Oryctolagus cuniculus: one gene and its partners. The protein of the gene in region 2 interacts with the protein of the main gene of each other region in a biochemical or structural test. Links are inferred from orthologs where the notes say so. Each region holds a gene or a part of one and is shown on either strand. Other genes may lie near its edges.

Region 1 (3,645 bases), on a different chromosome or scaffold from region 2:
TTGGTCAGACTTCCAGCAATGCCAGCAGCGTGAGCCCCCAGGCTATAGCCCAGGAGGTGGACATTGTCCAGGGGGTAGTTAAATTCCTCCTTTGGAAGAGAAGAGGGGGAAAAAGGAAGTGTTGTTATTCCTCAACAAAGATTAAAAGCTAAAGATAGACAATGCATATAGACACTATTCTCAAAATATAGGCAACGCTGAAACACAATTTCACTTATTTTAATTTTCTATTACAAGTGAAAGAGAGATCTGTATTTCTAGTGCTGGGATGTTCTCTTCTTTAACATTAAATTTAACTCAGAAAGTGTTTTCATATGTTGGAAATTATTTTCTTTACAATATGTGTGTGTGTGTGTGCATATGCAGGTCTGTGTAGAGTATGTGTGTGTGTGCATACACACCCCTGTAGACGTGTACAAAGATCATGAACTTAACCCCCAACTCACTCTTCTAAACACACTGCACCACTTGACTCTCCAATGTTAGCCAAGAATAACTTACAATGGAAGGAGGTCAGAGACACTACTCAGTCTATGGGGAAAAAATAGAATTAGAGAATAACTTTTTTTTGTGCAAACAATTTTTGAAATCCACACATCATTTCTTCATAGTACACATTTCCATGAGCTTTTAAAAAGCCCCTTGTATGCATGGATTTCAAAAACTTTCTGTTCCCCAACCAACTTCCCTTCAGAGTTCATTTTCCATGCACTGTTTCAGGCCTCACCCCCCTCACCCCCCAGCACAGCCTCCTTAATTAACAGGCTATGGTCCTTCCAGCTCAATCCCATCATCCCCCAGCACCAGCAAGAATCTGAGTCTTTAATCCACCCTAAGGAATAAATACTACTAATATTGTTGTCAAAACAGTTGCTGCTCCAACAGGAGTCAAAGCCAGGCTACAGTCTCCACGTGCCGGCCAACTGGCGGAAAGGACTTGGCCCAGCGTGCCTCCTTCCCTCTGTTTTGAAGTAACAAGCTCTTTCTCTGTTCTGCCCACTTAGTTCTTGGTCTCAGCAGATCTATTCACTGCACAAAATAGCAAAGGACAGGGCAGGGCAGGACAATTTGCTGGCTTTGGAATCTTTTCATTCTTCTCCAAATGCTGCTTCAGGCTTACACACAAGGCTGTGCTCCCAGTGAAGATGGGAATTTACTCCAGGGCCTACAGCTAAGTGCAAAGGGTCGTGGCCAGCCTCGTATCTCACCCTAGCAAAACCTCTGGACACAGCCCACCCTGTCTCCCACTCTTACCTCCATCCAGTTGATAAACCTGGCCACATCCTTTCCCACCAGCTTGGTGTAGCCTGCAGACACTGGGTAGTGCTGCTGGGCCCGTAACAGCCAGTCCACCACAATGACGTTGGAGTCTGGTTCTCTCTTGTACAGGGCGGCCACAAGTTTCGGCACCCAACTCTCATACATGCCCGTCACCTGAAGAGGGTGGGACAAACTTTCTTAAAACACCCACCGGCAACACAGCACACACCCCTCAGCCCGATACACCTACATTAAACGGAGAAAACACACCTGCAAGGAAGCCCATTGCTCAGAAAGAAAAAGCCAGCCCCAAATGATAATTTGTTTTCAGACTTGTGCCTGCCCGTTTGAGATAGATATGCATGTGCCACAAAAGGGGTGTGTTGGGTTCAGGAATGGCAGATTTCATTTTGCTTTATTGTTAAAGATTTATTTATTTATTTGAAAGGCAGACTACAGAAAAGGAGACAGAGACAGAGAGAGAGCTCTTCCATCCACTGGCTCACTCCCCACATGGCTGCAATGGGCTGAGCTGGGCCAAAGCCAACAGCCAGGAGCTTCATCTGGGTCTCCCATGTAGGTAGCAGGGGCCCAAGCACTTGGGGCCATCTTCTGCCGCTTTCCCAGATCATTAGCAGGGAGCTGGATTTGAAGTGAATGATACAAGAGGAAGTCATACTGCAGTCACAGCGGGGTCACTCAGTTATGTATTAAATCAAGGAGAAGATTCTGAATCCATGTTTCTAGGCAGGCACCTTTGAAGGGGAGAAGTATAGAAGCTGGACTGCATTTCATGAAATTCAATAGAAACATATGGGTGGGATTCCCATTCCAAGGGGCTTCCTTTGACACTGGATCTCCTACGGTGGATCTGTCAGACGCAGGCTCTTGCTGTTTGCTTAGCAGACTAAACCTATGAAAGCAGAGCTCAGTTCCACTCCCATCACAGAGCAAATTGCACACTTTTGTATCTCATTGCTTTGCTCTGTGGCAGAAAAAAAGCAAATCCAAGACCGAGGTGATCTAGGTTTCCATCCAAGGCCCCCACCAATGATTTCTATAAACGTAGGCTCTGCTGTAACCTGCCCAGGCCACCTATAAAACAAAACGGGTTGGGTTCAGAAGATCTTGAAGTTCTAGTCCAACCTCCTACATTTCTGCGTGTGATCATTCCGGTTCCCAGCCTACTTGCAGAGATAAAATGCTGGCGGACAGCTGTTCCAAGCATGGGCAGGCTTTGTGATGAGCAGGTTAAGCCATCCCTTTGGCACACCCGAATTCCACACTGGAGGGCCAGTTCAAGTTCCAGCTCCTCTGCTTCCAGTCCAGGTTCCTGCTAACCGCACCCTGGAAAGCAGCAGGTGATGGCTCAAGTACTTGGGTTCCTGCCACCCACGTGGGAGACCTGGATTGATTTCAGGCTCCTGGCTTCAGCCTGGCCCAGCCCCAGCTGCAGCTGGCATTTAGGGAGTGAAACAGTAGACGGAAGATTGCTCTCTCTCTCAAGCGTGCGCTCTCGCTCTGTCTTTCAAGTAGATGAAAGTAAATAGGCACCAGGAGGAAAACCAAAGACGACGAAGCACAGGGGTGATGCAAGCTCCTTTGAACGCATCTCAGGGAGGCAGCTGCAGGTCTGGAAGCAAAGTGGTTTCGCAGGGAACTCAGCAAGCGCAAAACCCAGAAGGAGTGGCCCTGGCCCACTCTTTCCTCCCTCCCCAGGTTGGGACACCAGCTCCCGTTTGCAGTTGCCTTGAAGACCAAGGGCAGATGACCTCATGGCTTCAAGAATGCAACATCCAGTGCTCCTCCTACTCCACAGTGAAAAGGCTGGGCTTGCGGCGATTGAAATCCAAGCGATGGCCGCATCGACACCGACACCGACCACGTGCTGAGCAGTGGGCAGGGGGCTTCTCACTTCCCTTCACCTGTGTGTTTGCATCCCAGCTCCACACCGCAATAAGGCAGGGGGGTCCTGTCAGCCTGAGGCCCCACTTGTAAGCTTTCTATGCTTTCAGAGTTCCCCGGTCAGGCGGGCTCTGGGGGCCAGTCTCCCAGCTTCCACTCACGGTGACTGATACCCGGATTGATGGCGTTAGCAACTCATCTAGCTGCTCCGTCCATCTCTGATTCAACACCAAGTACGGATGTTAGGAACCCCAAACAAAGGGGTTGGAGAAGCCAAGCACCACCCTCTTCAACTCAGGAGAGGTCTTAATTTCTACATTTTTCATCTGAGGCTCACTCAATCTGTGCTGATTTAAAAATTGTTGATTCCCAGACACAAAACTGAGCCACAGGCCCATGGCCCAGGCCTCAGAACCTCAGGCCAGGCCAGCGTGGGGGGCGGGGGGAGAAAGGCAGGGGGTGCCTGCTATAATCAGTTGA
Region 2 (3,645 bases):
AGCGGTGGAAGATGCCCCGAGTAGTTGGGCCCCTGCCACCCATGTGGGAGATGTGGATGGAGTTCCAGGCTCCCGGCTTCAGCCTGGACCAGCCCTGACTGTTGTGGCCATTTGGGGAATGAAATAGTGGATGGACTTTCTCTCTTTCTCTCTCTTCCTCTCTGTGTAATTCTGCCTTTCAAGTAAATAAAATAACTCTTTAAAAAAAAAAAAGAAAGCAATGTGGAGGGGTGACGGTGGCCTTAGGCAGGAGGAGACTCCAGGCCAAACACCCCAGCCCCTTCCTCCAGGGCACCATGTGGGAATGAGGTTGAGGGAACCAGTGGCTCCCTTTCCGGCCCTAAAATTACCGCTGATAATTACGGGTGGGGGTGTGGGGAGAGGACAGGGGATGGGACTAGGGCAGCAAGAAGCCCGAGAAAGAAAACAGAGACACTGACGCAGACCTATGGATGCAGCGGCGTCCAGACCCTGGCCCAGATTAGCTATGTGGGGGAGTGGCTGGGAGGATGAGACCCCAGGACCTTGCCAGCTGCCCTGACTCTGAGGTCCTGCCAGAGATTCCTCCACCCCCCACTGGCAGGGGAAAGCCTGGGTGGGGACCTTTCTCCCAGTTTAAACAGCTGCCTCTGATTACACCACTTATTGGGGGCAGGGGAAGGCCGGGTGGCGGGAAGCGCATAAGGGGTGGGGCTTCTGGTACAGAGGCTGAGCAAGAGCTGTGGCCTTTGGCCTGGGAGCCAAAGACAGAAGGGACCGGTAGGACCTGGGGCCACTTATCAGGGGTCAGGGAGGCTCACAGGTGGGAAGAAGGAAGGGAAGCCAGGCCACCTCCCTCCAGCACAGCTGTCAGCCCACAGAACAGAGCCCCTGGCAGCCTTGGGGGTGTGGCAGCTGGCTGGGGGAGAAGTGAGAGGTGTCCTTTCTAAGCACCCCATGCAGCACACCGGGCACCTGGAAGAGGGGGAGAGGACAGTTTTAGCTGTGTCATGGACAAACACAGCACGGAGCAAGGTCCACGCCGAGCCGGAGAGCAGCTGTACCGTCCCAGATACCTGCCAAGGGGAGAGGAGTCAGCAAAGGGCCAAGGCTCGGGGATCCCCGGCTGGCACTTACAAATCTCAGGGGCCTCATCAGATCCGTCAGGGCAGTCCCTCTCGCCATCACACCGCCAGCCCTTCGAGATGCAGGTGATCTGGTCTCTGCAGGCAAACTGCTTGGGGCTGCAGGTCTTAGGGGCTGGGGGTAAGAAAAGAAGAGAGGGGGTGTCAGTGAAGGTGGAGGCTGGCTTTGTGGCCCTGAAGCTCCCCAGGCTCCCCCTCCTGCCAGTATGGTCCCCATCCAGCCGGACCTGAGCCACAGCCTGGGCCTGGGGGAATGGTTGCTATTGGATGCTATGTATCTGTGCAGGGGGCAGCCCTCCCCCACCCCGGGCTGCCTCTCTGGTCAAGGCCCTTGCTGTTTGCAGTCACTCAGGTCATACATCGGCCTCCCCCGCCCCACCCCTGGCAACGTGAGGGGGTCACTTAGGCCTTTGACATGTTTTCTTCTTATCTCCCCGCCACTCCCACTTAAAAGGCCTACAGCTGGTTTTTCTCTTTTGAAGATTTATTTATTTGAAAGCCATAGTTACAGAGAGATGGGGCGGGGGTGGGGGAGATCTTCCATCCACTGGTTCACCCTTGAGATGGCTGCAACAGCCAGGGTTGGGCCAGGACACATCCAGGAGCCCAGAACTACATCTGGATCTCCCTCGTGGGTGCAGGGGCCCAAACACTTGAGCCATCTTCTGTTGCTTTGCCAGGCGCATTAGCAGAGAGATAGATTGCAAGTGGAGCAGCCAGGACTTGAACCAGTGCCCACATGGGATGCTGGTGTCACAGGAGGCGGCTGAACTCTCTGCACCACAGCACCGGCCCCCAGAGCTGGTCTTTTCTAACCTCCTAGGATGCTGGTCCCTTGACCCATCACCCCACCTACCCCAAACTCTCATCAGCAGGCCCCCAGACCGGAACTGTCACAGTCTGCAGAAATGTGGAGACACACAGGTCTAGGAGGGCAAGGTGAGGCAGGGCTGGGCAGGTCAGGGCCGAGAGTCCTGCTTCCACCTCCATTCTCCAAGGACACAGCCTCCCTGGCTGCTCACACCTCAGGGAGCACTTTAAGAAGATGTTTTCAGACACAAGAGGCACTGGAGAATTGCTCAGGATGATGGAGTTGGAGGGCAGAGGCAGGGGGACAGCTGGCATGACCTCTCGGAGCTGGCTTCAGCCCAGCCCACCTGTGAAGTTTCTGTATCCAGGACCTCTGACCTAACTCCCACCTCCTGCCCCCAGCCTCTTTCCTCTCCTATCCCATTTTCTTACCTCATTCCCCAAGGAGCAATTGAGAATGCGACCAGCCAACTTCTTACTATGGTGGTATCGGTATGTGCTGGCAACTGGTAAACCAGTTCCCTCCACATACCTTCTTTAATCCTCTCCACTGTGTGATAAAGGAGGGGCAATGAACACCTCCACTTCCCAGAGGGGGAAACCAAGCCTGATGACTTGCCCTGAGTGACAAAGCTGATGACAAAACCAGGGCTCAGGAGCTGGCGTTGGGGTGCAGCGGGTGAAGCTGCCACCTGAGACAAGAACACCCCACGTCAGAGCACCAGTTCAAGTCCTGGCTGCTCTGCTTCTGATCCAGCTCCCTAGTGCTCCTAGGAAAGCAGCAAGAGATGGCCAGAGTACTTGGGGCCCTGACACCCACAGGAGAGATCCAGACAGAGCTCCAGGGTCCTCGCTTCAGCCTTGCCCAGTCCCATGGGCCATCTGAGGAGCGAACCAGGGTACGAAGATCTTTCTCTCTGTAACTGCCTTTCAAATACATTAGGAAATCTTAAAAAACAAAACAACCACTGCTCAGACTGGTGCAGCTGACTCTAAGCTCTCAGCCAGCGTGGTCCACACCAGTCTCCCCTTCCCACTGAGCCGTTCTGCCCCCTCGACCCACACCAGGGCTGGCTTCCCAGCCTTCCAGTCCCTTCATGGTTCTTCCTTGGCCTGTGTCAATTCCATTTCTATTCCGCTGGCTCACGCTGAAGGCCAGCTCTGTGCCAGGCCCCGCACTAGGCACCAGGGTGCCAAGGAAGGGCGAGAAGCCCCCTCCCCTGCTCAGAGCCACAGCCTTCTGGGAGGAAAGGCAGCTGGCCACACCTAAGGGGAGAGCAGGCTGAAGGCAGATGCCCAAGGCAAGTACATCAGGCCTCCGAGTGCAGAGGGAGTCTGACGGGGGCCACTCGGAGATGTCCTCCCTCCGGAGCCCCCATCTCTGGCAGAGGGGACAGCACTCAGGCCCCTGGCCAGAACGAGAGCCAGAGAGCTGACTTCAGGAAACACATCAAGGATGGCCTGGCCAGGCCCCCCCAATGGCGCCCCCCCTTCTTTGCCCCCCCAAGCCGGGAATAAAGGCCCCTTGAGGAGGTGGATAATGCTGAGTTCATTGCCCCACTGGGCCAGCTGTGAGGTCTTCCCGGGAAACTCAGCCGCCAGCCTAGTTAGCATGCGGGGGAACCATCCACTTCCCCTGGCCAGCCGGCTAGCGGAGAGGGGGCTGTACTGGGACTCACAGGCAGATGGGGTGTTTGGAGCCCAGAAATGG
Region 3 (3,645 bases), on a different chromosome or scaffold from region 2:
CTGCTAAGAATGCCGACACGCAGGCTGACGCTGCGGCACACCACCTCGATGCCTGCATCCTAGGTCATAATCCCCGTTCGAGTCCCGGCTGCTCCACTTCCAGTCCAGCTCTCTGCTATGGCCTGGGAAAGCAGTGGAGGATGGCCCAAGTCCTAGGGCCCCTGCATCCACATGGGAGACCTGGATGGAGCTCCAGGCTCCTGGCTTTGGATCGGCCCAGCGCTGGCTACTACGGCCATTTTTTTTTCTTTTTTGACAGGCAGAGTGGACAGTGAGAGAGAGACAGAGAGAAAGGTCTTCCTTTTGCCGTTGGTTCACCCTCCAATGGCCGCCGTGGCCGGTGGGCTGCGGCCGGCGCACCGCGCTGATCCGATGGCAGGAGCCAGGTGCTTCTCCTGGTCTCCCATGGGGTGCAGGGCCCAAGCACTTGGGCCATCCTCCACTGCACTCCCGGGCCACAGCAGAGGGCTGGCCTGGAAGAGGGGCAACCGGGACAGAATCCAGCGCCCCGACCGGGACTAGAACCCGGTGTGCCAGCGCCGCTAGGTGGAGGATTAGCCTAGTGAGCCGTGGCGCCAGCTACTACGGCCATTTGGGGAGTGAACCAGTCAGTGGATGGAAGATCTTTCTGCCTTTCAACCAAAAAAAAAAAAAAAAAAAAAAAAAGCACAGAGAATCCAAAACAGTTTGCTTCCCCAGGTACCAGGGTGAAATAGGAGTTTCTGAAACTCATTTCCTACCGAGCACCTCAACTCTGTGTGCTACTACACTGCTCCCTCTTTTGCCCTCTGCCAAGCTGACTCCATTCCCTGGCAGCCCCAGAAGTCGAGAGCTCAGCATCGCGGTGCTCCGGTCATCAGTTCAGTGAGCACCTGGCCGTCTGTGCTTACAGGAAATCCTGCAGTGGGCGGAGCTTCCTGTGCAGACGCGGGATGGGGGCTGGGGGGGGGGACCTTCCGCGCTTTAGAATCCTGAGTTTAGCAGGCTTCGATCCTCCTCCGAGGGCTTTGTTCTCTGAGGCCCTCATCTGGCATCCCCAGGGAACTCACTCCTGGCTGGCTGCACCTGTCCTCCCAGCCGCCCCCGCCCCGCTTACCTGGCAGGCGTCATGCAGGTTCACCTGGGCCCCCCCACTCCGCGTGTCTCCAGCACACAGCATGTTGCCCGTGACGGTTCGGTTCTTCAGCTGCTGGGGCGTGCAGCGGCTGGAGGGGTACAGCCGGACGTGAGCCTCCTTCAGCTGCTCGGAGAAGACAGGCGAAACTGCAAAGACACCCGGGGGAAATGCCTGGTGGTTTTCAGGGAAGCGTAGCCAACGTTTCCTACAAGAGCTAACCAAGCGTTTACACCTGTTGGGTGGAGTCGCAAACCACTGCCAGGACTGTCGTTTGCACCCACAGCTGCCTCATGGCAGCGCTGTTTCTGGGCCAGACAGTAGGTGGTGGGGGTGGGAACATCACCCCAGGGGAGAACCACAGGCTCCCCCTGCTACCATCTCAGCTAAGCCTCATCTTGGAAGCAGACAGCCAGGCCCTTCTTCATCCCACCAGTGAGGAGACTGAGACTTGGAGCCGACTACTGTAGAAATTCATGTCCAGGCTTACGTAGGGTTTGAACTTGGGTCTGCACAAGGCCATCATCCCCCACCCCATAAGCCTCAACCACCTCGTGCTCTCTTAATGGGCACAGCGACCCCGTGTGGTAGAGAGGGCGGACGCAGGCGCTTGCTGCGCACGCGCACTGGGCCTGCCTGGTCGCCCTAGCAGACACAATGGGTGCGGGGCTTGCCGGCGCACTTACACTCCTCGTGTTTGCCATAGCCGGACAGCTCGCACTCTGTCCAGTCGGGCAGCTGCAGGCTGGCGTCGGGCAGGCAGACGAGGCGCACGGCCTGGCTCTCCTGGGCACAGGATCCTGAAGTGGATTTCAGCTTTAGCAGCGCTGGGGGCAATGGGAAGGGAGGAGGAAAAGGATGAGCCGGGGGCGGGGCGGGGAGGGGAGATTGGGGGGGTGGGGAGCGGCCTCCCCTCGGCTGGGGGTTGGATTGGGAAGGAGGAGGAGGAGCGTGTGTGGACACAGCCTGCACCGTGGGCATCGTACCGATGTCGTTGTCGTAGGTGCCTTCATCAAATCTCTCATGCAGGATGGGCTGTTCCACTTCGAATATCTGCTCCTCCTCTGCCGACACCAGGGGGTACGTTCTGCCCAGGATCACCCTAAGTTTCTGCTGTGGGAACCTGACGGAGGGACAGCCTCAGGAAGCCAGCTCCAGGCAGGTGCCCGGTGCCAAGACCTGGGACAGGAGACAAGACGGTCTCCTGGGGGAAGGGGCGGGTGCCGGGCCCACCTACCTCTCCAGGAAGCAGTGGGCAGCAGACAGAACCCAGCAGGAGTTGATCAGGATACCCCCGCACAGAAACCGCTCCCCGGGCGACCTCCTGTTGTTGGTGAAGATGGCCGCCTGCCAGGGGTGAGCGGTGATGTCGGTGAACAGCCCCCCTTTGATGCGGAACTGGGGCTGCTTGTCCTGTCGCAGGCCACAGGTGGCTGGGGAGGAAGGGATGAGAACGGAGGTGAGGGCTGTGGTGCCCAGCGCGGTCTTCATGGTGAGAAAAGTCAGTCTGCCACGCATCACGTGTGCCTTCCTGGAGGAGGAAGCCGCCAAGGGCCAGGGAACCCAGCTCGCACCCGCGTCTGGAGGACTCCAGCTCTCGGGGTGGGGGGCTTCCTCCCTCTAACTTGTTCCTGCAGCCGGGAGGGGCTGAGGCAGCTTCCTTCGGAGGGACGGCCACGCCCCTCCTCGTTCTCCACCTATGGAACCCTACCTGTCGTGCAAGGCACAGGTGAATTCCAGGTCTTCGCAAAGCTTTTGGAGTGAGCCTGGGGCTACGGTCCCTGAGGACCCACCATGAGTGCCCTAGGTTGCAAGTCCTCTGCCTTCCCATCCCCGGTCCACCCTGTGTTCCTTGAGGAACGTTGCAGGCCATCTGCAGGTTTGCGGGAGCTAAGGCCATCTCCCGAGATGGCCAGGAGAATGGGTGAAGGCGGCTTGTTAGCCAGGAGCCGCATCAGTGAGATGGGCCCGCGCCAGCCCTTACCGCACTGGGGCACGTCGCAGTACTCTATCACCAACTTGCGGTTCTTCAACACGTGGCACCAGGGCTTGGAGTCTCCGTCTGGGTTCCTGGAGGGTAAGGGAAGGAGGAGGTGGAAGTTTTCCATCGCAGCACAGGGAAGAGGACAAAGGCTCCGCAAACCAAACCTTTGGCCAGAAGCAGAACCGGGGACGGGCAGACCCCACCACGTTCTGCTCTCACAGGCGCCGGGAGCGCTTCTGGGAACGAACGCTTTCAGTCCGTAGAATCAAAGCAGTGGGGGAGGAGTGGACAGCTAAGGACGGAGTGGTTATGGCGGGCTGACCAGGAGCCCGGGGTCTTGGCTGGAACACTGCTGTGCCTTGCTTTTCACAGCAGGTGTGACTAGCAGGTGCACAGGCTCCTACCCGCCCGCCGGCTATTTTGTCAGCCCCCAGGCCCTGACTTCTCCCAGTGCACACCCCAGGCCACGCACCTGCAGTAATTATGCTTGCCCAGGCCCAGGGCCTCTGCGTTGCTCTGCCGCGCTGTGTACTTCTCGCCCACCAGG

Evidence for each region.
Region 1: the proteins of LRP1 (region 2) and LPL form a complex in vitro, tested with the Homo sapiens proteins (3 studies listed by BioGRID). The link is inferred for Oryctolagus cuniculus from reciprocal best matches to the Homo sapiens genes LRP1 and LPL.
Region 3: the proteins of LRP1 (region 2) and PLAT form a complex in vitro, tested with the Homo sapiens proteins (2 studies listed by BioGRID). The link is inferred for Oryctolagus cuniculus from reciprocal best matches to the Homo sapiens genes LRP1 and PLAT.

The regions. Positions count from the first base shown.
Region 1 is NC_091439.1:2,934,889-2,938,533, forward strand, and holds part of LPL (lipoprotein lipase precursor), read right to left. Parts: intron 1,435-3,645; coding exon 1,255-1,434; intron 90-1,254; coding exon 1-89. UniProt on the Homo sapiens protein: Key enzyme in triglyceride metabolism.
Region 2 is NC_091442.1:59,783,474-59,787,118, reverse strand, and holds part of LRP1 (prolow-density lipoprotein receptor-related protein 1), read right to left. Parts: intron 1,240-3,645; coding exon 1,117-1,239; intron 1-1,116. UniProt on the Homo sapiens protein: Endocytic receptor involved in endocytosis and in phagocytosis of apoptotic cells. Required for early embryonic development. Involved in cellular lipid homeostasis.
Region 3 is NC_091433.1:92,381,124-92,384,768, forward strand, and holds part of PLAT (tissue-type plasminogen activator precursor), read right to left. Parts: coding exon 3,571-3,645; intron 3,185-3,570; coding exon 3,099-3,184; intron 2,548-3,098; coding exon 2,352-2,547; intron 2,238-2,351; coding exon 2,101-2,237; intron 1,942-2,100; coding exon 1,801-1,941; intron 1,264-1,800; coding exon 1,097-1,263; intron 1-1,096. UniProt on the Homo sapiens protein: Converts the abundant, but inactive, zymogen plasminogen to plasmin by hydrolyzing a single Arg-Val bond in plasminogen.